Linked DNA regions of Alligator mississippiensis. The protein of the gene in region 2 purifies or fractionates together with the protein of the main gene of each other region. This does not show direct contact. Links are inferred from orthologs where the notes say so. Each region holds a gene or a part of one and is shown on either strand. Other genes may lie near its edges.

The links.
Region 1: the proteins of UPF3A (region 2) and UPF1 purify together in Homo sapiens (affinity purification with western blotting; 5 studies listed by BioGRID and IntAct, with this or other methods). This does not show direct contact. The link is inferred for Alligator mississippiensis from reciprocal best matches to the Homo sapiens genes UPF3A and UPF1.

Annotation. Positions count from the first base shown.
Region 1 is NC_081839.1:1,278,575-1,294,134, reverse strand, and holds the start of UPF1 (regulator of nonsense transcripts 1), read right to left. Parts: upstream 6,644-15,560; 5' UTR 6,423-6,643; coding exon 6,198-6,422; intron 82-6,197; coding exon 1-81. UniProt on the Homo sapiens protein: RNA-dependent helicase required for nonsense-mediated decay (NMD) of aberrant mRNAs containing premature stop codons and modulates the expression level of normal mRNAs.
Region 2 is NC_081824.1:350,626,659-350,641,750, forward strand, and holds the start of UPF3A (regulator of nonsense transcripts 3A), read right to left. Parts: upstream 10,075-15,092; 5' UTR 10,038-10,074; coding exon 9,789-10,037; intron 5,338-9,788; coding exon 5,231-5,337; intron 1-5,230. UniProt on the Homo sapiens protein: Involved in nonsense-mediated decay (NMD) of mRNAs containing premature stop codons by associating with the nuclear exon junction complex (EJC) and serving as link between the EJC core and NMD machinery.

The DNA.
Region 1 (15,560 bases), on a different chromosome or scaffold from region 2:
CAACTCTGCCAGAAGTTGGCTGGTTTTAGCCACATTATCATCCACGGCACCGTTCTGTAGGATGCCATCAGGTCCATTAACCTAAAACGGAAAGTGGGTCGTTAAACTTAAAAATCAAACTGTATCCCATGCTAGAAAACTGGGAGGCCAGTACCTTCCATCCCTTCACAAAGCCTCGTGATAATTTGAAGACAGTTAGGAAGGAGGGAGATAAAAATGTCAAGTACGGATAATAGGAGCATATATTGGTAACTAAAGGAACACTTCTGTCCTTTCCCCTTTGCTTAGTCACAAAGGGGTCATCACAATCACAGCACAGGAAGGGCAAATGAGTAAATGAACCAAAAAATCCTGAAGAAATGAGAGGTGCATAAAAATACACTGAAGCAAGTTTCTAAGCAAAAATTATTGTTCAGTCTGCCCCAACTATGTCTAATTCTCCAACCCAAAATGCATACTGCACATATAGTGCAGAACTAACTTTAACACCCTGCACCACAAAACTGTATTCCATATTAGGTCAGAATGAAAATTAATGAAATTCAAATATTTTAAGCATGTTCTAGCTATTTCATAAGTCTTTCAATTGGAAAAAAAAAACCCAACACCTAATAAGTGCTATTATCACTATGACAGACAAGGTTCCTTGGGTGAATTTGATATCTTTTATTAGACCAACCCAAATAGTTGAAAGAGTCAAGAAAACAAGTACCACTAGATACAACGTTAACAGATATTTCATCAGCCAAGTTTCTGAATAACAATATGTCAAAGGTGCAGAGCAATAAAGCCCATACACACCAAGCATGCAACGGAAATATTGCTTTATCCTGGCACTAACAGAGCACTACCCACCCAAGTAGGAAACCTTGCAACGCTTGCTGCTGCTGTGTCAGCAGAGCTTGTACTCCAAGCCTTATTCATGATACAAATATATTTGGCTTTTATGTTCTCCAACTGCTAGGGATCAGCACAAGGCAAGAATGCCCCATAAGATAATGGCAAGCTTTCAGACACATCTAGCATATAATGGTTAAGACACTGAATTTCCAGTCTTCCCCCATATCTGGAACGATTTGGGTTTACCTGCTTCGAATCCCAGGAATGAATGTCATTAAGAAAATAATCTGAGACAACTCAGAGTGAAGTGAGACTAGTACAGAAGACAGTGCCACGTGGAACTGGTGGCTCCAGCTTCAATCTGTTATGAACAACAGCATTCAAAAAGCAAGGAAACAATTAGGAATAATATTGAGAGGCATACTGCTTAATCCTAAATTCACCATCAGGAAAGTAAACACGATAACCTGACCACGCTGATTAGCATAGGCTTAAAGTAACGTTCTGAATCAGTACTACATGCTAGTAACCCTTGGGGTGGGGGAATAAAATATCAGTAAGTTTAAAATTAAATTGCTTTACTTCCCCCAAACAATGAAATACTGCTTTCCATCAACTCCCACCAGCCCAAAGGCAAGAAAGCAAAGCCTTGCATTAAAGGAGACCAAGGCCCTTTAACTTATTTCTGGTTTTAGTCAGACTTGTTGCCCCCATCACTGAACTCAAGGATTTTCTGAAGAAATATATCGGTAATTAATATCTGAGCCAAGGCCAAGTAGTAAGAAGGCGCACTCCTTCCAGGTTCCATATTAAGTGATAATTGTCATTTGGACACTAGCTATCTTGGGGGAGCAGCCTTAAGACTCCCACCACCCCATCCCAAGTTGCAATTCAAAAGCTACATAAAATTAGGAGACCATAAACCCACTTCCCTGAATATCCCATCTGGAAACCTCTGCAAACTAGTTTTTGGTATGCATGATAGTTAACATCCAGTTCCCAGAGTTGATTCTGAAAACAAGTAAGTACTAATTTACAAAGTACAAACGAGAACACTTTTTGAAACTTGCAACCATAAAAGTGTCCCAGGTGCAGTACAAGATGCAGGGCCATGTGCCTCCAGTCCACCCAAGAGTGTGAACTGTTAGCATAAATGCAATGCTCTGCAAATGTAGCTAGTAAAATGATAGCCAACACCTAGGTTTAAGGAACAAGAATACAGCAATGTGAGGGATCAATATTGCTAAGAAAACAGAGAGGAAGAAACATTTCCAATAGTCGGAGAAACTGCACCAGCATACAAAAGCAGATTAGACTGAAGGTCCCCTGCCTCACCACCTGCCACAAGATAACAGGTAGTTCCTTAAATAAACATCAAAATGGCATTTCATATAAAAGTAGCTTAACTGGTCATGAACCATGCAGAGAATATTCACGCCTCAAACTCATTTGAATTTTTACAAGCACAAACACCAGACATGTGCCAATGACACTTTGACTCTAACTGGCCTATTTCAAAAAGTAATTATATATTTAAAAAGTCAGCTGATGAATTTAATCAAAATGTTTGAATACTTAAACAAGTGTGGATAACTGGTGCCACTAATTATAGAGGCTTTTTAACTGTTTCTACTATTATTATTTCAAAGGGCAGTGAAACTAAAAGGTTGCTTGGGGGAAATGAAGCGAAGTGAAATTAAAAGTGTGCCAGCAGTGAAGAGACTGTGCCGTGCTCCATTCCGCCCAAGGCAGGTGCTCGGGACCTTTCATCCTGTCACATCTTCGGGCATGAATGATGTCACCTGTTGCTAGGAAAAACCTATCGCCTCGTTTAAGGCTTGGCAAACTAGCAATGAGGAAGTGACTCAACTGTTGTCTTAAAACCTTCTTGCAATTTTAGCTTCTGTACATATTGTTAAAAGTTTGACACTGTCACCCAGCTATTAAAGGGGGGCTTCTCTTAGGCTTAAAAATGTGCTGACTGCCAAGTTGCAGCACAATGAACTTAACCACCCCCTCATAAACTGTTTAAGAAGTGGGAGGGAGGTTAAGAGAAACCGGCACTCTAGAAGTAGCTGACCTGTTCCTTAGCAAAAGTAATCAACAAGAAACACCAGAGAAAACCCTGGGGACAAAGTTACTGAACGGCACTGCTCTCTCTGCTGAGAGAAAGTACCTGAAAGAGTCTCTAAACAGAAGTTTCTCCTGAGAGGAGAAGTTATTTTCCAAATCAATGATAAGAATAACATGGAAATTTTGTTCTCAATTTCTTCAAAAAGGCACTGCCTGTGCCAGTAGCTAGCAGTCCCTGGTAGCTGATGCATACACGGGCAAAAGCGTATTCACCTCCTGCCCTTCTGCTTAGGAGTTAGACAGCATGTTTAAAGCTGTGGAAAGGGAAACAGCTGCAAAACTCAATAGGTAAAATCCCAGGCCCATTGCTGGAAAAGAGTCCACTTCAGACTATGGGACTTGACTCTACCGGGTTGGACTAGATGACCTCTTCCAGCCCTACTTCTCCGTGATTACTACCGGGAATAATACCCATTCCAGCGCTGCCTGACTTAGCTGCAAGACAGGGTCGTATGCTGTCCCAGCACCAGCATTTGGGGATTTTTTAAGTAGCCAGAAGCATGTGCTAGGCCTCCAAGAAACAAAGAACATAAAATCTCTGTTTACAGGGATAAAGCAAGCGAGTCCAAACAGACAAGAAGGGGCGAAGAGGAAGGACAATGATAAAAGACAGTTTCAGCAGGATGTACAAAACCTTACACAACGAACACCTGAGCCGTATACAGCTAGACTGCACGGTGTGCTGTCAGCATTTCAGGCCGTGTGCTTTTAGAAGACTCACGTAGACAGGAAGCACGGCACCCTTTCCATCTGTTACCTTACCTTAGAGTACAAGCGCTTTTCTAAATGCCTGTCCACCCTCAGTGTCTTACGGGGCAGTGCATTTCAGAGTTCCCCGCTTTACAGACGGGAAAAGTGAGGCACAGAGTCCGAGTAACATGCCCATGATCACGTAAGAGATCTGGAGGCGCAAGAAACCAAACCCGAGTCTCCCACACTCCAGACTACAGCCCTATCCGGCTAGCCTCTGCCAAGCAGTTTTTCAACCAGTTGAGCATATTAGCAGTTGAGTTGAGCCGTGTCCCTCCTCTACAGTAGACTTTAAAAAACTTGTCAGTGGGCATATCAGCTAATGTGCCAAAAGCAGCTATTTTAAATCTCTGCCTGGAGAGGGCCCTGAAGAACATGAAAGGGAGAAGAGGAAGTAGGTGGTGAGAAACAGAGGTAAGACAGCTGCAGTTAGAAGATCAGGAGTGTAGCAGTGTGTGCAGAAAGGCTGATTTACATACAGGCTTTAGAAAAGGGCCGCATCAGCTGACCTGTGAAGAAAGAAACTGTATGGCCATCACTTTTGCACCACTGACCCCTTATTCCCTTGCTAGTGGGACACTAGTCGACTTCAACGCCTTTCAAAGTGCTCAGCTTAATGCCTGCCACAGGAAGAAAGCCCTCATGTGGGAAAGTGCCATTTCCTACACGGTCGCAAGTTGGGTCTGCTAACATGCACAAGTCTGGACAGATATGTACCGAAACTGCAAAGACAAAGCAAACGTGGTCTGAGATACACTATGGTTTATACTGCCTACAGAACAGCGAAAAAATATAGTCTTGGTAAAAAAAAAAAAGTGCTTTTCTTCATGCTTGTTTTGCCAGTTTTGAAAACTATTCAGCAGCTTGTTGATAAAACTCCAAAATAAGATCTTCCCTTGAGTGGGGGTAGATGATCCTCGCTACCTCAATATCTTCTTTACGTGTTCCTTTCAAAACAGGAAAATGCCTTTAGTGTTAATCCCGAGGCAGAGACTTTTAACACTGGTACGGCACTCAACCAGGAAAATCACGAGGCAGCGCCGCCAGATGTGAGCAAACCACCAAAGAAAATGTAGAAGTGGCGTGACAGCTCCTAGAAACTTATGACAGGACGATACACGGTACAAGCACGGTGCCCGCGTATGCTATGAAACTATGTCTATACACACAGGACAACACAACCCGGTTACACTCGCAGGCCTGGCACACGCGGGGTTTTGATGAGATCAAACCTGTGTACCGCTTGGAAAAAAAGTTTATTTTTTGCCCTACCAGACAAGCCGTCCTGTCACCGTGCGTGCTTTTCTGGCACCCGGGTTTGAATGCACGGATTTGACATCCAAATAAACGCACAAGAAAAAGACACAAAGGTGAACTGAGAAATCCCTGTCAAGACCCGAGTTCAGGGGCCTGGGTTTCTGCTACCGACACCAACAACTGCAGCTAAAACCAACGCAGGGACCTGCACTCCCACTTCTGCCTTTGATGCATTGGCAGCAGGAGCACAGTCCGAGCAAGAACGCAACCCAAAATGAAACGTACTTCACCTGCTAGAGCCGATTCTGGGCTTTACCAGCATTGCGATTCACTTTTAAAACTTGCATTTCAATGTCCCCACGGTTTGCAAACAGCTCGCTGCAGGGCAGCAGGACCCCACACGCACACGGGGATGGGCGGCCTGGATAAGACGCTGCGGCCCCGACGTATGAAACCGCCGTTTTTCTTTCTAATGCAATTTTCCAAGCGTCCGAGCCGCGCCGCCGAGGCAGCTGCGATCCTCAACGATTATATTTCCTTCTGCGGTGGTCCGACCCCAACTCAAATCCTCCCTCCTCTTCCTTCCCCAGCCCAGGCCGAAGCCCCAGGTAGCAGCAGACCCGCCGCGCCCCGGGGAAGAACATCACTCACGTTCCCGACTGACGTTGGGCCCTAAAGTCTCCCTTACTCACCTTTGACTCCTTCCCCACCTGTCCCTTTACCTTTTCTTTCCCTAATTCCTACCTATGTACGCGCTCTCACGGACGCTTTTAGCCTCTTCCGCTCCTCGAAGACGATCGCGCGCCGCGCAGACTCCCTACGCCGGACGAAGGGGGCTGCGCCCGCACGCTCGCAAAGACCTTTCCCCCCCCAGCTATTTCGCTGGTTTAATAAGAGAGCGGGGGAACGCGGTCCGGAGCCGTTTCCCGCTCCGTGGAAGACGGACGCTTGGTTTATATTGTCTTTGAAGGAACGAAGCTGCGGCGCGGTGTAGTTCTTGCCACAATAGTTTCTGCGTCTGCCCAAGGAACCGGCCCAGGCTGACACGCGAGCTGCTGCCCCGGCTTCTGGGGTCGGCGCTTTGGGGGTGCCGAGTCGTGCGTTTGGTGACACTTCTCGCCCGCTCGCCCGCCGGCGCTGGGCCGGCCCCAGCCCCACGGCTGCACTTCCCCGCCGCCCGCCGCCACGTGCTTGGGGAGAGGGATCCCCCGGCTCACCTGCGCCTCGATGGGCCCCGGCGGGCCCTGCCCCACGCCGGCCGCGCCCGGGCCCTGCCCCGGCCCCGGCTGCCCCGGCCCGGGCGGCGTCTGCGTCTGGCTGGGGAGGGTGAAGTCGGTGAACTCGAACTCGGAGCCCTGCGTGTCGGCGCCGAGCAGCTCGGCCTCCTCCGTGTCCAGGAAGGTGAGCGTCTGCGAGCTGGGGCCGTACGCCTCCACGCTCATGGCGGCGGCCGGCCGGGCCGGGCCGGGGCCCGCACCGCACCGCACCGCACCGCACCGCACCGCACAGCACCGCACGCCGCGCTTGGGCCCCGGGAGGCGGAGGCGGAGGGAGGCGGAGGCGGCGGGAACGGGAACAGGAACAGGCCGCGCGCGAGCCCCGCGACAAGGAGCCAACGGCCGCCGCGCGCCCGAGCCCAACCGTGCGGCCGCCGCGCGCCAGGCCCCGCCGTGACGACACACGCACGCCAGCGCCGACGCGGCGCGCCACGTACGCCGCGCCCGTGACGTAGCACGCACACCTGCGGGGGGAGGGCGGGGTCTAAGGCTCGCTGAGGGGAGGGGGGAGAAGCGCCGTTTGTCATTGCCCCTCAGTGAGGTGAAGGGAGGGAGGGGGTCTGTTATTGCCCCCTCAGTGACATGAAAGGAGGGAGGGGGTCTGTTATTGCCCCCTCAGTGGGGTGAAGGGAGGGAGGGGGTCTGTTATTGCTCCCTCAGTGACTGGGGGGGTCTGTTATTGCCCCCTCAGTGACATGAAAGGAGGGAGGGGGTCTGTTATTGCCCCCTCAGTGGGGTGAAGGGAGGGAGGGGGTCTGTTATTGCTCCCTCAGTGACTGGGGGGGTCTGTTATTGCCCCCTCAGTGGGGTGAAGGGAGGGAGGGGGGTCTGTTATTGCCCCCTCAGTGACTGGGGGGGTCTGTTATTGCCCCCTCAGTGGGGTGAAGGGAGGGAGGGGGTCTGTTATTGCCCCCTCAGTGACTGGGGGTCTGTTATTGCCCCCTCAGTGACATGAAAGGAGGGAGGGGGTCTGTTATTGCCCCCTCAGTGGGGTGAAGGGAGGGAGGGGGGTCTGTTATTGCCCCCTCAGTGACTGGGGGGGTCTGTTATTGCCCCCTCAGTGGGGTGAAGGGAGGGAGGGGGTCTGTTATTGCCCCCTCAGTGACTGGGGGGTCTGTTATTGCCCCCTCAGTGGGGTGAAGGGAGGGAGGGGGTCTGTTATTGCCCCGTCAGTAACTTGGGGGGGGTGTTATTGCCCCCTCAGTGATTGGGGGGGTCTGTTATTGCCCCCTCAGTGAGGTGAAGGGAGGGAGGGGGTCTGTTATTGCCCCTCAGTGACTGGGGGGGGGGGTCTTCCGGTGCCCCCCAGCGAGGGCTGTGTCCCTGCAGGGGTGGGGCGGGCAGGCGGGGCTCCCGTGGCAGTAGCACTGCGCAGAGGTGTGAGCCCCGGCCCTGTGGGGACAGGCGGGGGGTCCTGGGAGTTAACCTGCATCAGAGGAGACGGGGCACAGCCATGCGAGCGTCGCAGGGGACGGGACGGGACGGGACGGGACAGGGCGAGTGGGTTGCACCCGGGGCATGAGAGCAGCGTCCGACTGAGGTGTGTCCGAGAGCCCCGAGCGCGGCTGTGAGACCTCCAGTGCCGGTTGGTGAGCGTTCGCCGGGGATGGTGCAGACAGGCCCAGACGATCCCAAACGGCGCCAGGTGGCCCTTGAGAGCTCTTCCAGCCTTATTTTTCAGTGGTTTGTGGTTATCAGGCTGTCGCTAGAGAAGAAATCTCTGTACCTGTTTCCTTTAGGACAGGGTTCTTAACCTTTTTAGACTCAACCCACCCCCGTTAGACTCAAAGCCGCCCTCGGATAATGCTAGCTTAGTTCTCGCTCCTTTTTTGACTGCAATTTTTCCGTTGCAAAGAACTCCAGAAGATGGCAACAGGTGAGAGTGTTTTTAGCGCTATGGACTCCTATTTGGATTGTCTGGGTTTATCATGAGAGTCGTGTTTGCACACCTAACAGTACTAGCATTGTGTGGCACCCTTGAAAGGATCTCGGAGCACCCCAGGGTGCCATTGTACCCTGGTTGAGACTCACTGCTGCAGGGGTGCAAGATTTTCCACCTTCCCTTTCTTATCAAGACTTTGTATCCAGAGTGGATGAATGCTGTATCCGTGCATTGGCTGCCTACCTGCCCTTGTTTGCAATAGACTGATCACATCCCCGTGTCCAGGTTACATGTCAAAAGCCACCTTGCCCACTTGACGTGGGGTCCAAATGGCTAGAGCAGGACACTGGGATTGAGGGCTCCCTGAATCTGTTCCCACATCACTAGGAGAGTGTGGTGTAGTGGTTAACCAGGAGTTTGGGAAGTACAACTCCTGGGTTAATTTCCTCTTTTCCTCCCTCAGTTTCTTATCTGTAAATTAGAAATAAAAATACCCATTTCACACTAAAATGTAAAGATTAATTAATCATTGTAAATCATTTTGAGACATATGGGGATTGAGGAGTATCAAGTACTAATTGGAAATTTGGCTGTGATTGAGAATGATCAAGTTTTGTTACTGTTTACTGTGCTATTTGCACATTTGGCAAACAGTTGCACAAGAGGGTCTGTAACTGGATATGCTGTAGAAATTGAGCTCTCTGCTCATCTTCAGAAATGGTCCTGCCAGGTCCAAGCTGAGGGACATTTGAGAAGATGCATGGGAATTCTGTGAAGACACGGAGGACTTTGGTTTTGGGTGTTTTCATCCCATTGCCTTTTACTAGTTCAAAATTCAGAGCTGTTCTAAACTAACTTCTTCAAGTTGGTTGTGGCAAAATGAAATGGAAAGCTGGAGATGGTCATTCTCCCCCCCCCCCCCCAAAAAAAAAAAAAAAAGTGATTTCACAGCTACTGAAGATGGGTATATATTTCCTTCAACACATAGCCTTTATTTTGTCCCTGTTTTCCCTGTAGAATGAATCCCAGGAACAGACGCGCAGGCATGCAACGGTCCACTAGAAGCATTGATGTAGAATGGAAAATTGCACCTTCTATTTTCTGAAGCTTCCTCCTCGTTGGACTATCCTATACCAATCATATGTAGAAAAAAAAAAGTAGAGAAGCTGAGAGGGCTAATATTTCTATATACACATTGTTTGATTTCACCTTTAGTTCTGAGTGCCCTTGAAGAAGCGGAGTATGCTCTAGGCCTAATGTAAAATTGTCCACATTTACAGTTGTGACCTAGTAGCTAGCACCTTGCCCTCCACTATGGGCAGTTCTTGGTCTTCCTAACTAGCTTTCCAGGACTGTGATCCACATATAAATATGTAAATGTTCCTTGAATAGACAAATCTATCTGGTTGATGATAAAAGAACTGCCCCTTAATCCAGTTTTATCAAGTGATATTATTTAGCATCTAAGGGCAACTTGGGGCCTATTTACCAGTGAGCCATGAGAGGAATCGGCTAAACCTGGAACCTTAAATTGGAGAAAACTTGCTTATGAATTATATATCCCTTAATACCCCTTTATACAGTCTTGTCACTGACTTCTTTAATGAAGGGGAGGATTAATAAGGAGTTCTTAAATCTGCCAGTTATCCAAGGGAATCCCCACTCGTGGAAACAGAGCCGGAACACTAAAGTAGGTTAGTGAAGTGAACCATTAAGGGCAAGAATGGAAAGCTGACTGTGATCACAGCCCCTGCCGCTATCCTGTGCCAGGGCACAAGTCTAAGTCATTCCACAGAGCTTCCACAGCTCAACAGTAGTTACAGCCCACCTGAATTAATCTGCAAGTGTTTGTGTGATAAATAGAAAATCAAGTGAAGAGTTATTTTCAGTTATCCTCAAAGGTATCTTCTTTTGTCTTAATATTCTCATTATTTTTAGTGTCCCATGGAAAAAAACCTTATAAAATGAGATCATTGGGTCCAGTGTCACGGTACTTTCTGTTTTGTTGGCTGTCATGAAAGAGTTCTTGGGAAGGAGACTCCCCGGCCCTGAGCCTTACACCGCTTCTCTAAAATTTACAGTTTCCCTATTCTGCAAAAGCAAGGAACAAATCAATCTTGATCTGTGTATCAGTAATAGTAGGAGGATAATTATCTGGGTCCTCAGAGTCCTCCTATCTTATAACCATCTCAGTCACGAAGCTCTGGATGATGTTAGCAAGAATGAAACATGAAAGCTCAGTCATAAACTTTGAAGCATCTTCACTGAAGACAGGTTTGTGGAAGACTGCATACATATGTGGGCCCAAGGATGGTGCAAGTCGGTGACATCTGAGCAGGTAGGTAAAACTGATCTATGAAAATGTGTCTCAGCCAGTTTAGAGCTGTGAACAAAAGTCCTGCTCTCTGTGGAGCCAACTCTAGGCTTATCATAAGGAACTTTCCCACCACGTTGACCTTGTGTTGTTGGGTTTTTTTGTTTTTAAGGATTTTATTCTGGTGAAAGGCATGAGTCCAAGAGCAGTAAAAGAATGAAACACCATGTATCCACAACATGCAGAACATGGGCAGTTGCAAGTGCAGGCTTCTTCCATGCTCTCTCCTTGGAATGCACCTCAGCTGCTTTCTGAAGAAAGCCCCTTTACATCTGAAAGGTTAGTTCAGTTTCCATTGTCCCTTCTAGCCTCGACTTCTGAGATTTGCCAAGAAAGGGGATAATTGTGGGGTGGCTTCATGGCCTAGAGACTGGGCCTCTCGGAGCTCAGGACCAACAACTCTTTTCATTTAGGCCATTGGTCAGCCATCAGGTTGAGTAGTTTTGCACATTGTAAGTCTGGAACAGATTCACCTGGTAATCCAAAGGTTTTGGAGGATTTTGTATTGTCATTTGCAGACTGCAAAATCATCCATTTCTCACAGACCTCTTCATAATTTTGGAGAGCTGTGAATTTTGAATCAGAAAAAATGTAAATGACATGAACTGTTAGTTTCCATATCTCTGGGATAAGGTCAGTGCAACTGTGGTCATGCTTAGTCTTGTTATCTAGAAGTAGTGAGTTGTAGTCAACAGAAGAGTCAAAGTACTTGTACATAAACTGTCTCCAGCAGCATTGCAGGATAGTCTCACTGAGCAGCATTTTGTAGTTCCCTAAAATGAGATATTTATATTAGAGGGAAGCTTAATAGAAACGACCTTCACAATTCTGGCTTGAAATGCATGGGTGATATGAAGGGTACCCAGGCTGTAGCTGTATTGGTCTAGAGGCAAAAGGAATTAGAACTCATGGTAGAGGTGATATCTTTTACTTGACCAACTAGATTTTTGCAAAATAGGTGATATGAAGCAAATGTCTGTGTCGAGAGAATGCTGCCCAAACCATTTGTTCCCAAAGCTGAGACAAGCACAGTTACAAGAGAATACTAAATCCCACTTCAGCTTCAAAGTGGTTTTGCAGAGGGAAGTTATCAAGGCAAGTGGGCTGCTTGGTATGGCTTCTTTGCTTATTACCACTAAGAATGCCCTTCCAAATTTTGATTGTCGTACAGCATTGTTAGAAGTTTTGGGAAAAGATCAAAAGGTTTGGCGAGTAGCTGAGAGATGCCTCAATTCCACCCTCCCTCCTCTGTGCGCTACATAAAATGGAAGCTGAACCAAGATTTGAACAGAAATCATTCTGAAGGGGTAAGGAAACCCTGAAAGAGGTCCTCTGGTGAATTTTACAGCTGGCTCAGCTTCTGAAATGGGAGCACCAGCATTGGCGGTGTCCTCTGACAAGACTAGGCTGCTGTCTGAGGTGCTGAAACAGGAGGGCTACAGATGAAGTTCAGCAGTCCCCCCACCCCTTCAAGGGCTGTTCAGTCTCTCCCTTTTCCAAGTACTAGACAGAAAACCACACGGAGCCAGTCTATGGGTATTGCCTGTTCACTATGATATCTTCAGGCAGGGGCCACTATATCAAATTGCTAATTAACCAACAGCACGGTGCCCTCACCTAATTTTTATTTTAAAAAAGGAGGCTACAATTGCTCTTATTACCTGTTTCTAAGTGTGCCCAGTGAACATGCTAGGTTATGATTTCAGGGGTAAGGCACTTGAGGATTTTTGTTTCAATCATACTACGTTTCATCTTTGCCCTTTACGGACTGCACTGCCTTCTTGCAGATGAGTGCGTCTGGAACCTGCACTGTGTGCCTTCCTAAGCTGCATTTGTCCTCTGATCCATACTTTGAACAACTAACAGTGCATGTGTCTTTTAATCCAGGGCACCTATAGGATTGATGGCCACTCACTGACTCTTGGGTCTGCATTGCTCTGTACCCAAAAGGAACTGAAACAAAGTGAAGTTCTGGGTAATTAGGAACAGTGCCTCTGCAGACGTGGTGGTTCTTCACCATTTCTTGTGCGGTTTTGGAACCTAACTTTGCAGTAAATGCTCAGCAGGCTGGAACAGTGCAGGAAAACAGACCCAGGTGGTTTTCTTTTACAAGGGTTGTTTTCCACATGCCAACAAATGCTTCTGCGAGCAAGATGGTTTTGTTTGTTTATGGTTCTGACTGTCATGCTTACCAAAAAGGTGGTGGAAAGGCCATCTGTAATTTGTAGTTGTGTAAATTATATTTATTAGTGAAGGCAACTCATTCCTCTCAGAATTGCTAGCCTTGCTACATGACTTTCCTTGAAATACATTTTACTCCCAAGGCACTTTAGCACTGGGATTTGATAACATCCCCCATTCAAAACTGTAATGAGAGGAGAGAAAAACAAGCTGTTATGAAAAGGAAAGAGCTGATTGGTCTTGGAAAACTCCAAGCTCTGGAGACAGTGTCAGGACGTGTCACCATGATGCAAAGCGCTCAGAGCCAATAAAAGTGGCTCCGAAAATACTCCACAAACTGCTAATGACTATGAACCAAAAAACCCAAATGATTTTATCTTGGAAGTGAACAGTCTGGAGTTAGGGAATCACAGGCATAAAATGGAGGGCACACGTCTGTGTTACCTGATGTTCATTTGTGACTGGCAGTTCACAGGGCAAGGGATGCTGCAGGGGAAAATAAGAGGGTATTGCCTTTTCCGACATATCCATTTTGCCACTGCAGAAGGACTTTGGATTTCAGACTGGCCCAGAGCATGCAAATCATCAGTTTTTAGACCTTTTTGACCTTTGTATCTATTGTAGTAATTCCCTGTTCTAATGATAAATTATTGATACAAAATGCTGTGCAACTGCAGGTAATTTAGGGATGTATATAAATTAGGGTTTCTAATACTGTCTGAGCAGCACCCTCCGGTCTTCCTTTATCCACAACTTAAAAAAGCAAAGGAAAGTCAGGTAAATAAATAAATGACGTTGTTGGCTTGTAGCTCTCTAGTTTCCCTTTTGAAGTCAGACCCATCCAAAAGACTAGATATCCATATTTATGTGTGTGATAGTGCTTAGCAACCTCTCTTAGCAACACCACGCTGTCATGGACACATCCAACATCAACTGAAGTGGTTCAGGGGAGGGAGAGGTGAGGGATGGTAATTTGCTACAGAAGGTACCATTGTCTGTTCTAATTATTAGCAACGGTTCGGCTTTTCCACCCCCATCACTTCATCAAAACACTAATTGTTCAGATGCACGTATACTGTGGAATACATTTGTGTCACAAAAACTGTGCAGTGCATGCCAATAAGGTAATTTTTTTTTTTTTTTTTTTGCAAAAGAGAAATAACCTGTCTCACACTGTTTCTAAACAGCAAAAGGTTCTGAATCCTCCTCCCTGGTTCAAATTTGTAAAGACTTGCATTTCTGACACGAGCATTGGTGAAAGATGAGAAATTCATTTTAGCATCAAAGGCCTGGAAAGGCTTTTCTTCTCACTAATCTCTCTCTCTCTCTCTCTCTCCCCCTTCCCCCAGATTTCTTTGATTCTACTCATTCTCCACCCCCGGGCCTACACGGATTTTTGTTATTTTTTTTTTTGCGTGTGGGTGGTTTTCCAGCTAGGGTCTGTTATGATGTTACAAGTTATCCCTCATCTTTCTTTATAAACTCTCTTTATGCATAAGTGTATGTACACACAAGCTGCACCTGTGGTACCTATGAAATCTGTACAACAAATGGTAGAATCTTGTAATCAGTTACAGAATTACAGCTCTATATGACATCTACTTAGTTATGAATATTTAACCAGTTTGTCTTTTCTCTTTTCTGTCCTTTTTCTTGTTTCTGTGTTCCAGTAGCTCTTTCTCTTTCTCTGTCATTCTTGTTAATGAAATGCATTTTATTTTTAAAGTTTTTTTTCTTTATTACTTTATTATTTTGTCTAAAATAAACACCACCCTTTCCAGGGAGCATCTTTTGAAATGTGTCTTGCAGCCTGGCTGAAATGGAAGAACCAGGAGTATTTGTAACTAAAAAAATTATGTTCCTATGTCAGAAAAATCCAATATCAAAGGACCTTTGAGAGAATAACTTAAAAACAACCCAGTAGCAATGAAGCAGTATATTTTTGTTGTTTTTGAAGTAAACTCATTATTCTAAAGCAGATACTGCACTACTGCTCCACCACCGCAAGAGGGACATAAAAGGACGGTCAATGCAGCCTCAGAAGTAAACCAAGAGAGCAGCTTTATGGAGGTACATAGCAACATCTATTTTCTTTTTGTTTGGAAGGTTCTTCTGGGATCCTAACTTAAATTTCTGATCATAATCAGTAATAGCTAAGGTGGATTTTTTCCCAAACCTTCATTCCCTGCAATTTGTCCTCAGCTTTTTTTTTCTATTGGAGTGTCTGCTGCAGAGTTGGGTCAGGGAGCAGTGAGTTGTCCATGTTTTGTTCCATTCCTTCCTGTGGGACCACCCTGCATTGTAGTCTCTAATAGGTATGTGGACTACAGAGTGGGGAGCTAATAGTTATATTTATTCTCATTTTGTTTTTCATTGGTTTAAGACTGATGCTTGCATGTCACAAGTAGACCAGATCTCATGTTATTTCAGTCTTGTAAATGGCTATCTCAGACAAAGAAGCTTGAATGAAAATGTTAGCAAATATTGAAGGTGTACTCAAAATCACAGCCCTGATTTGTGATAAATTGCACTGTATCTGCCCTGTGCTTATTCAAAGGGTATGTGATCTGTGAAACCCAGTGACTTCAGTGAAGTGTTATTCCCTGCCATGATGACACTTTGTACCACATTTTGATGGTTGTATTTGGTTGCTGACAATGGGATCTGAACTCTAAGCCAAGGAGCACCCTGCAGTACCTATGAAAAACAGGCAGTGGATTATTCTAGGAGTTGTCTAAAAGATAGACATTGCAGTGCTCAGTCCAAGCCCCCCTTATGCATCTAAGCCTAGCCAGTGGGAGATGATTTGAGATTCACCAACCAGTTTCCCATAAGGGGTCACTGTCTTGTCTTCAAGAAACTCTTA
Region 2 (15,092 bases):
ACAACTCTGATGAACAGGGTATTCTAGATATATTGACAATCATGAAGGCATGTGGTTTTGAAGGACATGGAAAATCACCATGACTGTAACCAGGATGCTTCATGGGTAGTGAAAGCTGAGAAAGCTGCAGCCATGTGGTTACTTCTATGCATGACATTGTGACAGACTGCAAGCCAATGGGTCTGCAGCACAGCTGCAGGCAGTGGAGGATGGTTACAGGCCTGCCTAAGGAGGACCAGATCAGCTGATTAGAATAACTGGCTGGCCAAAGGACATTAAAAATGGGCAGGAAGAGGAAGCACGGGAGAGAGGCTGAAGGTATCAGGCATCAGCCAAGTCTCTCTCCAGGTCTAAGAGACCACAAGGGGAGGGAAGGGTTAATCCTTTATGGACTATGGTAAGGTTTAATAATAAGGAATAATTGGTGATTAAAAGGACTCCGGAGGGTCCGGTGGGCCCAGAAGATAAAGATGTGTATGATTTAAAGATTGGGAGAAACCTGAGAGAAATGGGATAAACCCCAAACCCGCTACAGACATAATACCAAACAGGTTTTACTTAATGGAGCACTGATTGCAAGCCTAGCCAACAGAGTGATTGCTAAGGCTTCAAATCTGGCATGAGCATCAGCGACTGCAGGACTTCAGCATGCAGAAACCCTCTCCTCTTTCCTTAAATCCGTATAAAACTCACTCCAGAACTGCAAAGTTGTATTACCAACTTGAGAGTTTTTCGGACTGGAGAAGAGCATCTGGCCATCATCATTGTATAGAAACCTGCCATGCTTGAATAAATTAAAAACATTGCAATGCATGTACCTTATGAATACATTTGAATGAAATTGAATAAATTAATTCATGAATGAAATTGAATAGATTAAATAAATACATCATAATGCATGCACTTTATAGACTGACTTTAAGACAACATTTTAATAGGGATTTATTGAACTTGAGGATGCTGTCAGCCGATTTCACAGGAAAATCATGGGGTAGGCAGCTATTTTTGTGGGCGGAGCATGCCAGGCCCCCTTAACCCTCTGACTGGTCGAGGGGCTCCAGTGGCTTTGCCTGTCACTGTTGACTGGCTGCGAGGGCCGTCTGTTATGCGGCTCCACCCCTCACGGCTGATTGGTGAAGATGGGTGGGGCCATATGATGGATAGATCTTGCAGTCAATCAGTGGCGAGGGATAGCAGCCATCTTGTTGTACTAGCAGTCCTCCTCACCCCTTCCACTCTCAGCAGGTTGCGTGGCCCAGCCACAGTGGCCATGAGGACTGTTGGCTCTCTAGAGGGAGCCAGCATTTTATTTTCAGCAGGGGTTTTGGGGGGGGTTTTGGTTTTGTTTTGTTTTTTTAGGGAGACCACCTAAAGCACAGAGCACACCTGAAATCGCAGCTTCCACAAAAATTGTGATTTTGGAAAGTCCCTACTTATTAAAGACAGCTGTTCTTAATCAAATCCACATTTTTTTTTTAAATAGCAGAGTTTATGTGCAACAAAATAGTGCAAACTGAAACACGATTAAAACTGAAGGAACCATGAAAGTACAAAGTTAACAGATTTGTGCAGATACTAGGTTTAAGTGTGTAGATGGCATTGTAGCTCTATCTTGTCTGAATGGGACACCACAGGCACTTCCAATATTCTATGGTGGGAACAGGGAAAGAGAGTTCTTTGTCTCCTTTGTCCTCAACAGACTACAAGATATCATTAAGATGAGACATATAAGCACAGTGCAACAATTTTTTGAGCAAACAAAAATTAGTCCCAAATCAGTCCACACATACAATGTTACTGCGCAGTAAGGCACAATGTTACTGTGCAATAACTAATTGGGCGTAAATTAGCAACATAAATCAAGCTAGAGTATGTCACCATATTTACTGCGCAGTACGTGCATGCACATGTAGATGTATGCCCGTACTGCACAGTAATTTTGGTCACTACACAGTAAATGCACATGTGTAGATGTGCCCAGCAAGTAGAATAAGACCTGAGGAAGTTCACATTTTGGTCCATAGGCACAGGATTAATTTTTCTTTTTTTTTTTTTTTGTATAAAAAAAATATACTTTTACTCCCAAAATTTTCCAATTTTGGTATTCTTATGGACGCAGCGTGGGAGCTGGAAAAATAGCCAAGCCAATGAAAGGTTAAAGGCACTGAATAGAAGCAGATATGTCTGCCTCTGTTGCGATAATATCTGCTAATCATAACTGTTGACAGTATATTGACAGTACCTGGCAGAAAGTCTTCTAACAGATACTAATGAGACAGACTGCTGTAATATAGCACTTCATACTTACAAATGTTGTCCCATCTGCTGCATAGTCACTATATGTCTCCAGATGGGTCTTGTGGATAATTTCCAACTGAATCACCAGCTAGGGTCAAAGAGTGCTCAAGGGATCTTAGTTGTCCATGTGTATGTCTTCCTGTGTGGGAGTTCATAACTGACTTTGTGGATTCTGAAGACTCACCATAGGCTGTTGCCGTATTTTCCAATATACACTTGGATATATGCGATAGCTTTTAGAGCAAAAACCTGGTCCAGCTCCTTGTAGGCTGTACAGGTACTGGAAGGTCTTGATTTTGTAGTACTGTTTTTGTAAATCCATTACAGCTCCTTGATTGTACTGTGACTACTGCTACTGCATTTGGTCTGCCTGTTGCTTGTAGATCTTTGCATTTTAGTGACCACAGGAAGTTGAGATTGAATTCACTCCTTTCCCAAAATTGCAAGGAAGTCCAGGACCTCCTGACAAATCCACGCAGAAGCATTAAACATAATGACTACATGGCACTTGGGGTGTCTGAACTTGGCATTAGCTGAAATCACAAAGAGATGTGCTTGGGAGCGTGACATTACTCAAAATGCAGGGCACAGGGTGGAATATCAAGTCAACAGAAACCTTAAGCAGCAGAGAGAAAAGGTAACTAGGAAAGCCAAAGCAGATGTGATGCAATGCAGTGTGGGATAGCAGCTGAAGGACTGTTTCATAATTATTCTGAAATGGGGGTGCATACGTAGAAATGTTACAGGGGTATAACTCATTCTAAATTATAATTTTGTCATGTGCCAGGAAAAATAATTATAATAGCATACAATGCAAGACAAAGCAATAATAAATAAATAAATTATGTGTATATGGACATAAGGTAGTTCCTTCTAAAACAGCCAAAGTTAGACCAAAAATCTTTTCCACACAGACAATGCTCTAGTTTCTATGAAGACAGCAAGGAACTGGAATACATATCACCAGTGAAAAAAGTGCCTTCCAGACCATTATTTTATCAAAAGATTAATAAGAGCCACTAAATAAATCTGAAACACCAGACTTTAGAGTCTCTTTTGTCTAGTCTCTAAAATGTTAGTCAGTTTTCAACTTCTCAAAATACAGTAACCAAATAAAAATAAAGCCGTGTTTTCAGATTTTAAGACTTACTCTATAAAGCAGATAATTTTTTAAAGTGCTTTAAGCATGCCCTCATCTTTTTTTCCAGTTATCCAGAATTATCTACTTCTTAAGCAAAAGTGGAATACTGACAGCAACACCAGCAAGTCAGTGTGTTGTAAGCATTCAGCTGGGAAAATAATTCACAGCAAATAATTCACTCAATCTTTTCAGGCTCTCTCTTTACATATGCAATATCCTTCAGAATAATACATTTTTCATACATATTGTTAAAAATTCCTTGACAATCTCTCCTCACCAAAGGTTTTGTTTGTACTCCAAATGTGAGCTGTGCTGGTTATGTAAGCAATATGGCAGTGTTTCTTTTGTACATATTTTCTTACTCCTTACATAGGAGAGGACAAAGATTAACACAGCATGTGATGGAGTTTGCAAAACACTCAGGGTCCTTGCGGAGACAATTAGATAAGGCATAGAAGGAGATGACTGGAGCCTTGTCAGTTAAGGCTGTGAGACAATTCCTAGTTTGCGTGAACGTAAGAGAGAATTAAAAGGTAAATATATGACCTATTCTCAATTGCCTAAATGTTCAAGGAATTATCAAGCTACACAAACCCTGGAACATTCCCTGGCATTTCACCAAATACTATGTATTGAACACAGAGAGTCTTTTTAAGAGATGTTTTAGTGGGTTTTTTTGCAGCACAAGTTGAACAGAAACCTAAAAGGCTTTCCTAAATCATGGTGACTAGATTCTCAAGAAAGACATAAGGAAACTAAGATCCTGCTGAAGTACAACATACAGATGCTAACACATGCTCAAAAAACCCATCCTAGCACTGCAGGTGCCTAAACTCACTCTCTGCCTAATTTTTCACTGGTAACGTATTGCTGGTACCAAAGCTTCTGATGTTATGCATATGACAAGCCAAATTTGGCTGTTGGCAACTTTTCCCCCCCATCTCCTTGAATGTGCTTGGTGATTATATTTCTGAAAGGTTCAAGCTTTAGGAGTCACAGGCTCTAATAAACCATTCCAGAATTGTGACCAGAGGTACATACATGGGTTGGCTAGAGAGATAATTCAGCATATAGTTAAGCATACATATCCCTATGATACATACTTTGTGACTTCAACATCCAAACAGATGTGTCCCATTGCAATATGACAATGTTAAAAGTGTTTCAGTTACTTTAATTGTTCTATTTCCTCCCTTTCTGAAACTTCTTTTGTTAGAAAGTTTTCTTAACTTGGTTGATACCGCCCACTACAAATAGTTAGTAAACTTCCTTTGTTTCATTATTCTTAAATTGCCGATGAAATAATTACAAAATATACTGAAAGAAATAAAAGCTCTACCCTTGACTGACCAGTTGTGTATCTTTAACGTTTGCTTTTTAAAATATTCATGAGAATAAAACTAGATTTTTGAAAGTCTATAAAAAGCTAATGTAAATGTGGAAGCAATTAAGGAGTTCATTTAAATTCAAATGAACATTTGGCCAGCTCTGCTCTTTTCAGCATTAGGAAGGCATAATATAAATTGAGGAAAAGCTCTCTTCTACTTCACCAGTGAAAACTGGAACAGAACTTGAGTATTTTCAGCAACAAGATGATAATTTTCTGTTTTAAAGTTCCCTGCATAAAAAAAAGCAAAATCTAGGTAACCAACAAAACAAAAAGATAGAGGTTCTGGGGACAAAATATGCAATTTTGTATGCAGCTATGCCCAAGGTACCTTAGACAGGTTGCTTGCAAAAGCACAGAAATACCTCTTTTCTTCTTAATACTAAGAAACAGCTTCTCCTCACCTGGGATCAGCAGTGCAAAATTCAAAATAATCATGGGCAGGTAGAGGATGCAGCTGCTCCTCCAGCTGCTCTTTAGTTAGGCAAGGAGGAAGCCGGCGAATAACTACCTGCAAAGTACCAAAGAGAAAAGAAAAGTAACATTAGCACTAATCTAGAGATAAAATTATTGCAAAAATAGTAAACAAATTAAATAGTAGTTTTCCAAAAACTCTCTCTAGAATTTAAACTTTCATTTGGTATGCATTTGCTTGCACCAGCAGGCAAGTGGAGTGGACAACCTACAGCTAATTTCTGTTTCTGTCACATAAAGGAGAGGAATTGACAGCTATCACATATAGTGTGATTCTAGGAGAGAGGAAATATCTTACAACAAAGAGCTTAAGAGCCAGGATACTTCAGTCAAAAATAAACGACATTAACGAATTACATAAAGCCAAATTTATTGCTAGGAAAACATACCTAATAATGGATCTGGCAGCAAGTCTTAAGTGGAGTTTCACTGTGGTCTGTTTTTGGGCTAAGGCTGCTTAACATTTCTATTCATGGTATGGATACAAGGACAGAGAATATGGTGATCAGCAGGGATCCTGGTTTTCTCCAACAAAAAAAATCCCCAATTTTCAGATTAAAAAAGTAACCCAAACTCCACATTTTTCCATTATTCAAATGAAACACCACTATATGCAGGTCTATATATTAGTGATGTTTCATTTTAATCATGGACAAATGTGGATTTTGGGTTATTTTTTTAATATGAAAATTGGGGATTTTTTTTTTTTTAATTCAAGTAAACCAGGATCCCTGGTGGTCAGACCTGTAGATGCCACTAAGGTGGGTGAGCATGTCAAAACTTTAGGGGACAGGACTGAAATCCAAAGTTGTCTTTATAAATTGGAGGACTGGATCATAGTCACCAAGATTACATTTAACAAAGACAAATATAAAGTGCTACAAACAAAGAAATAAAAAGAAATGCACAAACATGAAATGGGACATGATGGGTTTGGCTCTAACATAGCTAAGGAAGAGAGGGGTGCTTACAGTGGATGACAAACTCAGTATCAGTCAACAATGCAATGCTGTTGCAAAAAAAATGCAAATGTGTGTTGCATGTTTGCAGGGGTGTATTCTCATTTCTCTCTTCTTCTTATGCTCTTGTTTTCTGCATGGCCTTTCACAGCAACTGATGAAGTGAGCTTCAGGCCACAGAGCTTGTGCTCTCTCATACATGTATACATATAGACTATATAATACATATATGTATATAAAGGGGCATGTGTGCCCCACTCCTGGACCCAAGAGGCGCATCCGGACAAGCATGCACATGCCTCTTGCCCTGTCTCAAACCCTTTTGAGATGGGGCAAAAGGCACATGCGGGAATGAAAAAATGTTCCCCGCACTGCCAACTTGCAGCGCAGAGAGAAAATTAGACCCCTGGATATCCAGGGGTCTAAAAAAATCCAAAGTTTAAAAAAGCGGGGCAACCGGAGGCTGGGTCCTCCACAGAGACGTTCTGGCTGCCAGAGCACCTCTATGGTTGGCCCCTTTCCCTGGTGCTAAACACGCGGCCTGCCAGACAGCGCAGCACCAGTGCTCCAGTGCCATAAGTAAGGGGTCAGGGTAGGGCTGGAGGAGGGGGGAGGGGACTATGGGGGACACCCCCTCCTGCCCCCCCCCCACTCCCCCAGCCCACCCAATTCCTGCTCTGCCTGGCTTGACCCTCCGCTCGCCCCAAGCCCCATCGACCCCTGTTCTATATGGCCCCGCCCCCCCCACTCTGCCTGACCCCCCACCCCCTGCCCTCCAAGCCCCTCTGACCCCTGCTCTGCCCGGCCCCAGCCCTGCCTCCCCACCCCAGCATCCCCATACCAAAAAAAACGCTAGCACTTACCGGCAGTTCAGCTGCCGTCAGGGTCACTGGGGCCCCGCCTGCACAGCATGGGGCAGAGGGACAGCCCCAGTGGCCCGAGCCTGGGCCCTCCCACCCCCTGCTGCCCTCTGCTTCCTGGGGGGGGTTCTGCCAGGAGGCCCCAGAGACCCCCCCAGCCCCTGCTTCTAGGGTAAATAGAGGCTTTTTTTCTTGGGTTTTTTTTTCCTTGTGTTTTGTTTTGTCTTTTTAAGTGACAGTGCCTGGGGTTGGGGGGCAGCCATGGGGGCCTACCTAGGGGTGCAAGTGGGGGATGGGGCCTGGCACGGAAGTCATTGGGGGATTTGGGGGAACGGGGGTGGGGCTGGGTGGGGCAGCCATGGGCGGGGGGGTTGCAGCAGCTGGAGTAGGATGGGGCCAGGTGGGGCAACAATAAGGGGCTAGGGTGGGGCACGTGAGCCTTGTGGCCTTGTGGTAGCCCCTGCGGTGGCCATTTGGCCCCTGTTGGGGGGCCATAGCCCTTGTGTGGGGGGCAGCCAAATATATATTCATGTTTCATGAATTCATGAAACGTATTTAGAGTTCACTTTATTATTATGATAAAGACACTGGTAGGCTTCCACATTGCTTTAACACAGTAGATATAACAATAAAACATTGCCCAATTGATTGCTGTCTCTGTCTCACTCTTTCTCTCTTTATAGTGGTCTTTTGTTTTAATTGTGGAGGAACATGGATTTGGGGGTATTTTACAGAGTGACTTTGGAATTTTTTTTTTTTTTTTTAAATCAGGGATTTTTTCACTTTTCCAATAGGGAACACCAGAATTCCTGCCAGGGAGGCCAGTGGCAGGACCCTGCCTGCTCAGAGCTGGCACTTTGGACCCAGCTGGCTGGGCTGACCTGGCAAGCTGGGGCCAGGAGGACATGCTTTAACAGTTCAAAGCAGACCACCACACCCGAAACATCTTTCAGGCAATAGCTGCCCAGATGGACGGGCAGAGGCCCACCTGGCAGTAGTGCCGCAGAGGCCAACTCTGCAGCCACAGTCCACAGCTGGCACAGAGGACAGATGCCTCTACTGGCTGTGCAATCCCCATCTGGGTCTGGCAGGTGCGCAGCACGTCACAACCAGGCAGCAGCCCCCACTGCCAGAGTGCCTCAGTGGGTAAAGGGTGCAGGGAACTCTCAGAGCAGCTTCAGCAGTCCAGCTGGCACAAGAGGTAGTGTCCCCAGGTACTAACTGGCTGGGCCCCAGATGCTCCTGAGAGTGAGTAGCCCCGAGCTACTTACCAGGGCAGTTTTTTGTATTGCTGGGGCCAGGACAGGTGCTGGCCCAGGGCTCTAGCTCCCCCTGGCTGCAGGTCTGGGAGGAACCAGGCAGGGTTACTTTGCCCCAAGTGGCACAATTTGCTCCTCAAAGTGCATGTCCAAAGTGCGCCGAGGCAAAAAGCCCCGGCTCAAATTTGTACCATTTCTATTTAAGCTGCTGCAAGCGCACGTACTTGCATGTGTGGACGTGTCCATGGGGAGCACATCCACTCCACATCCGGACTGACTCTACCGCCCTGAAAAGGTTAGCACCACACAGGGATGGCACTGTGGGGGTGGCTATAGCTGCCCTAAAATTTGCCTTAGTCCCCCCAGTAGCCATCTCTGCCAGCACTGCCCCTGTCCAAACCCCCTGCCTCCCTCAGAGATGCTGCCGCCTGCCCTACTCCTGCCTGCAGAGGCGCAGCACTCCCAGCCTGGCCTGATCTGTCTACATACAGTATATATTTTTATTCTCCTTTTGTGGATAACATAGATAAAACACATATTTAAGCGGGAATTGTTAAAAAAACCAAATACATTTGTTTGGCCAGAAGATGTGTACCTCAACCCCCCCCCCCCCCAATTTTTCTGTCTAGCCCACCTCAACCCCTATAGTGAGAAGAGACTTGGTGCCACCTCTGGCACCACACCACTGATGGCAGTCCAGCTTCAGGTGAGAGAGGACTTTGTCTAGTTTGGGGGCCCTTTAAGGAGGAGACAAAGAAGCTGGGCTGGGAGAGGAGCGCTGGCAGGGACAGGGCCTGGAGAACGGGCCCTGCCTGCCATGCCTGAAGCAACCAGCTTTAGTAGGGAGGGAGAAAAAAAGAAAAGAAAAGGGACCTGGTTGGGGGTGAATGCAGAATATCGGGTTCCAAGCGCCTGGCTGGCCACCCCCTTGCAGACACAGGGCCCAGAGCAAGGACAACACTTCCCAAGGGCTGGGCAAGGACCAGGCAGGGGGCACAGGGGAATCGCCCAGGGGACACCCTCACTAGGGTGGCCAAGGGTTGGGGGGATAGAAAGCTGTGACCTGCGAGCAGGGGGAGGGGGGAACAGAACGCTATGACGTGCGATCAGCAGAGCCAGGCAAGGAACAACGCTATGACGTGCGAACGGGGGAGGAGGAGGAGGGAATAGAACGCTATGACTTGCGAGCAGCAGGGCGAGGAAAGGAACAGAACGCTATGACGTGCTAACGGGGCGGGAGGAGAGACGTGCGAGCAGCAGGCCGTCTCCCTACCCAATCCCGGCGCTCTCAGTGGAGGTGGGGGGGGGAGGGGGAAGTTCCCCTGGCGCAGCCCCGCCTCCCGGCGCTGTCCCCGGTGCTGCTGCCCTGACCGCCCGACCCCGCCCCCAGCCCCGCGGCCCAGCGCTCACTTTGCTCAGCGCAGTTTTCTTCTCGTCCCGCGCTTTTCCCGGGCCCGGCGGCAGCGGCGGCCCCAGGGGGGAGGAGGAGGACGGCGGCGGCGGTTGGGGCGGGGTCTCGGGCTCTCGGCGCGGCGATTCCCGACGGAGCGGAGGCTCCATGAGTCGCTTGTCCCGCCCTCCACCTCCACCGCTACCGCTACCGCTGCCGCCGCCACGCATAGGCCCCAGCCCCGGCGCAGCCTCCCGCTCCGACTTCATCAGACTACTGCTGCAACTGTTCAGCCGCGGAAAGGGGAAGGGGCGGGGGTGAGGGGAGGAAGAAAATATCGCGAGAACGGGTTCTGTTGTCAAGAAGTCTCACGAGATCTCAGCGAGGTGCTGGGGGTCGCTCCCTCAGAATCCCGTCCCCACCCGAGCGCCGGCCGCGCCCCCGCTCCTTGTCCGTACCTGGAGCCCCGTGTGAGGTGCGTCTCACGCCTCACTCCCGCGTCCCGTGCGGGGTCAACTAATGTAACCAAAAATCCGCTCGTATGTTATAGTGGTGCTTCACTTTAATCATGGAAAATGGATTGGGGGTTACTTTTTTTAAGTCTGAAAATTGGGGATTTTTTTTTAACCAGAGAAAACCAGGATCCCTGTTCACCACCCTCTTCGGGAGAGTATTTTTCTGCTGTCCAACCTCAGCCTCCCTTGCTGCAACTTGAGGCCGCTGCTCCTTCTCTCATCTGCCACCACTGAGAACAGTCCAGCTCCTCCTCTCTGTGACCAGCTTTGAGGGAGCTGAAGGCTGCTCTCAAATCCCTCGTCTCCTCTTCTCCAGAATAAATAAGCCCCTTCCCTCAGTCTCTCCTCAGAAGTCCTGCCCCCCTCCCATCCCCCATCCACTGGACTCTCCAATTTGCCCACAACCTTTGCCGAGGGCAAACTTGGGCACATTACTCCAGATGTGGCCTCACCAATGCTGAATAGAGGGAAAAAAAATCACTTTCCTCCATCTGCTGGCAACACACCTACCAATGCAGCCCAGTATGCTGTCAGTCTTCTGGGTGAGGGACACACTGCCCCCTCTTTCCATAGTAGGGGGAGGGACTAACTGATGCACTGTGGACATAAGGCCCTGACCCCCAATACGCATCAAATAAGCCAATTCCTGGCTTTGGCACAAGCAGCAGAGAGAACATCAAAGCGGCTGTATCTAGAGCAGGGTTTCTCAACTTTTTAAGTAGCAAGAGAGAGATTCTTTACATCTTCCAAACTTGTGCATTATCCCAGAAAAACAGAGATCATCTTAAACACAAATTTGTACTATCCAGGAGCTGGTTACTGAGCTGGAGGGGTCCTTGATACGGCAGGGGGAACCTTTACCACCATTAACACATTTGATTGAAGGAGTGCAGGACATACCTTAGAGACTAACTTTAGCTTTCATAAGCAAATGCCTACTTCATCAGATGCTATGATGAAGTATAGCACCTACAAAAGCATGTCTCTCTGAACAAGTTAGCTTGCCCTGCTTTCTGCCTTACTTCAGACTAACACCATTAACTACCAGTCTCTAGTTATGATTTGGGTAGTGCAGAAAACAAGATCTCCTAGTGCCATGAAGATGCTGCATCAGACACAATGGTACTATGGGAGATGCAATGTTAATGTCACCCTATTCAGAAATGAGAACACTGGTAGCTGTGAGACTATATTGTGGGTACTGGGTAATGCATGTAACTGCAAACGAGCTGGTTGTAAGGGAATTCTTCCCAAGCCATTTTTTTCAGGGGCCAAATTAGTGTCTTTCTGTCTTTTTAGTGCCAGAACCTAGCAAGCTCAGTCTAAAATTATGCCCCTTGCAAAGCTAGTGTCTTTTTTCACAAAGTGAAAGCATGTTTGAAGAGGACTACTCTGAGGTTGCAGTCTCTGCCCCTCCAAAGTCTGAAGAGGGATAACAGACCTCTCCTGCAAAGATGACTAATAAAAATCTCTCACACCTCTGTATTTTCCTTGGAGAACTACAAGCAAACAGCTCCTCTCTCAAGGACACAATCCCTATAATCAACATCTGGTATGCCCATAATTGAGGACACACCATCTGCAAGGGCAAGCAATAGAACATTTTTAGATTTTGGAGACTTCTTGTCTGCCATAAGGGCTAAACCTTGCACACAGCAAGTTTCTCAGATTTTTAAAAATAAAATGCTATGAAAAAGTACTTGTCTGTCTTACATCACAGGAACATGTTTTATAGTGAGTGTGAAGCTCACTCACAAAAGTCTGACTCAAAGACAAAAGTTGATGCGAGGGCCTGTCAAAAATGACCTCAGATCCAGAGTTATAAAGACATTCAGGATAAAGATGTGGCTCAAAAAAAATCCAAGTTCAAATGCAGGGAGCTAACAAGCCACATGAGACATGGACATGTGAAGAACTTATCGACAGTTCTAGGTTCAAAGTGCTCTATCTTCTCAACATCCTAGGAAACAGAAGATTGGTACTTTTAATCCTAGCAAATAAAAGCTGTGAAACATCTGTTACAAACAGCATTCTGTTAATGTCTGTATCTTATTTCTGTTGCAGTGAAGGGAGAAAAAGGAAAAGCCACTAGATAAAACCTGAAGTCTAAGCTTTACTGGCTGTGAAGCTGTGTTCAGACATTAGATAACAGAATATTAGAGAAGTGGCTTAATACTGAAATCAGCTAACTAGCAAGTCAATTAACTTCAGTCAAGTTCTTCAGCTTACATTTACAACCAAGACAGCCATCTTACAATTTGTATAAAGCAGCAAATTGGCAACCTAGTCTATGGACCAGATTCGCCATGGAACCACTGGGTCCAACACAGAGATGCGGGACTTTGGCTAGTGTGATTTGGGGTACTCGTCCCATGGCATGGTGGGGATGAGCAGACACTCTCCCCGTGCCAGTTCACAGACAAGTGGGTGTGACCACTGGGTCCTAACAAATGCCTGCCTGCCTCTGACTCAGGGTGAGTTATTCTGGCTCAGTTGGAAAAGAAGTGCCTACCTCTCATATAAGGAGTTTTCATTAATATGATTACTAAATTAATCTGCTCATTTGACTCCAATTCTACAGTGCATCTCATGATTGATTTGTTGGTTTTGACTTGGTCATTGTAACACATTGCATAGCTTGATATTAATACTAAACAAGTTAGATGTGGGGACAGCTACTAGAACATCCCATTCCCAGCTGGATTAGCAGCGTAGTCCTGGCAGCAGAGACAGCTAGTTTCCTCACAGACAGCACGTAAACTATGTAGGACTGTTAGGGAGAAGCTGTTCAGGGAACAAGCCAAGTGCAGAATAGCTGCTAGCACTTGGGAAACCTTTTAGTCAACCAGCATGGATCAGCATCTTTCTACAGTAGGCCAGCCATCAGCATCTGACTATAATTTCTGTTTGGGAGTAGCCACTTTAAGTTTACTTAGAAGTTCCTCTGGATTATAGGGCAATTGTTTTTTCTTTTAAATACTCTCTCTCATCTGGGGCAGGGCAGGGGGTTCACCCAATTCTGGTCTGAAGACGACTAAATACCTTAACCCAGTTCAGTTTCAGAATGGCTTTTACCTTCCTGGAACCACAGGACTACCATGCAACTGTTTGACCTTTCTGTTTGACCTGTCCTGATACCAAGAAATAAGAAAGGTTCTACACAATTCAACTACCATTTGGTTCCTTAACAGTGCCAAGAGCAATTACTAAGAACCAGGTTCAAATAAGATTGTAGGAGCATAAATGTGAAAAACTTCTACTCAGATCAAAACAGTAAAATAAACAAAATCAACACACATAGAGAATTGGTAGGTAAACTTTCATGTGAAGTGAGTCTATTGGACAAAGGAATTCAGGAAGTGGCAGTATTAAAGGGCACAAGTAGAAACCAACTCAATGAAAAGAGAAAAGGAAATGTAGTAAGACACCAATTGAGCTAAATTGGGAGCTCTTAAATGACCTATCAAGGAGGAATCACAGAAAAGTTGCTACTATTCCACCATGTTTCCATTATTCCTATAACATCTGGTTTTACATCCTACATAATGAGTTACTGTTCATTTTTATTTCTCATTCTGAACTTTCCCCAGCTTCCCCCTCACTTCAAGTTCCTTGATTAAAGCCATTCCTCAGTCAGGTCAACCTTGATCCCAAGTGAAGCTGATCCCTAGAGAAAAAGTTCCCTATCCACAATTACTAGCCAGTGATCAAACATCCAAAACTCTTCCCAGGAGCACCAATCTTCTGAGTCATCTATTAATTGTCATAATCTTCTCCTACCTTCTCTTGGGACAGGAAGAATCCCACTGAAAAAAATCATTTGAACTTCTAGAAGTTTAAACAGCTTCCCTACACTACTGTAGTTGTCCTTTACACCTGTCAGTAATTGTCATGTCATTTATGACTCACCTGAAGGCCAATTAATGTCTGCTCCCATGAAAATCCTCTTCAGTCTTAGGTCTATCCCATATCTTTGCTTCCAATATATAGCATTCCTTTCTGTTTTACAGGTTGTACCTTATAAGTGGTCTGATTATTATTAATCAGTGAATCACTGATTACATAGAAATGCCTTTTCCTGGTATTTGTATCCCTGATACTTTTCCTTTTTATCCTTTTATGTATCCAATTACCACATTCTGTCTTTTTTATCTTCCTTGGTCCTTCCTCTATCCTTCTTGGGCTAAGATGATTCATTATCTCCATTCTCCCCACCCCTCTTTGAACGAGCTTCTTCTCTTTTCTTCCACGCCATCCCATCTTCTTTGTTTACCAACAAACTAAACCTCAATTCTATTTCACCTCCACCAGCTGGTTCCTTCCTTTGCCTTATTTTTAGTCACACGATCTCAAGGGCTCCCCTGTTCTGAAGATCCAATCATCTTTTTAGATAGGCATCAGGTCTTTCGTTTGTATATGGAACTTCATTTCTCCTTTCTTGCATTACCCGCTCAAATCCTATCTGACCTCCATCTCTGCCTTGCCGCAGTTCCAGTCCTTTGACCACCTCTGTCAAGCAACACTTCATGCAGATATAGCTGGCATCAGAAACCTATTCAAGGATGATAAATGTCTCTACAGCTGTCACTTCCTATCATTCTCATTTCCGGTCTCATATCTGGTAACTCTTCCAGCTGCAATTGCCATCTGCTGCCCCTTACATTAAAAAAAAAAAAAAAAAATCTTGTGCAAAAGAAAAAATGAACAACACCAAATTCCCTTTTCCCATATCCTCTCAAAACTCCCAGGGGACCCAGATGCCAGTGAGAAAAAAACAAAGACCTCTAAAACCCTGCCCAACAAAACCGT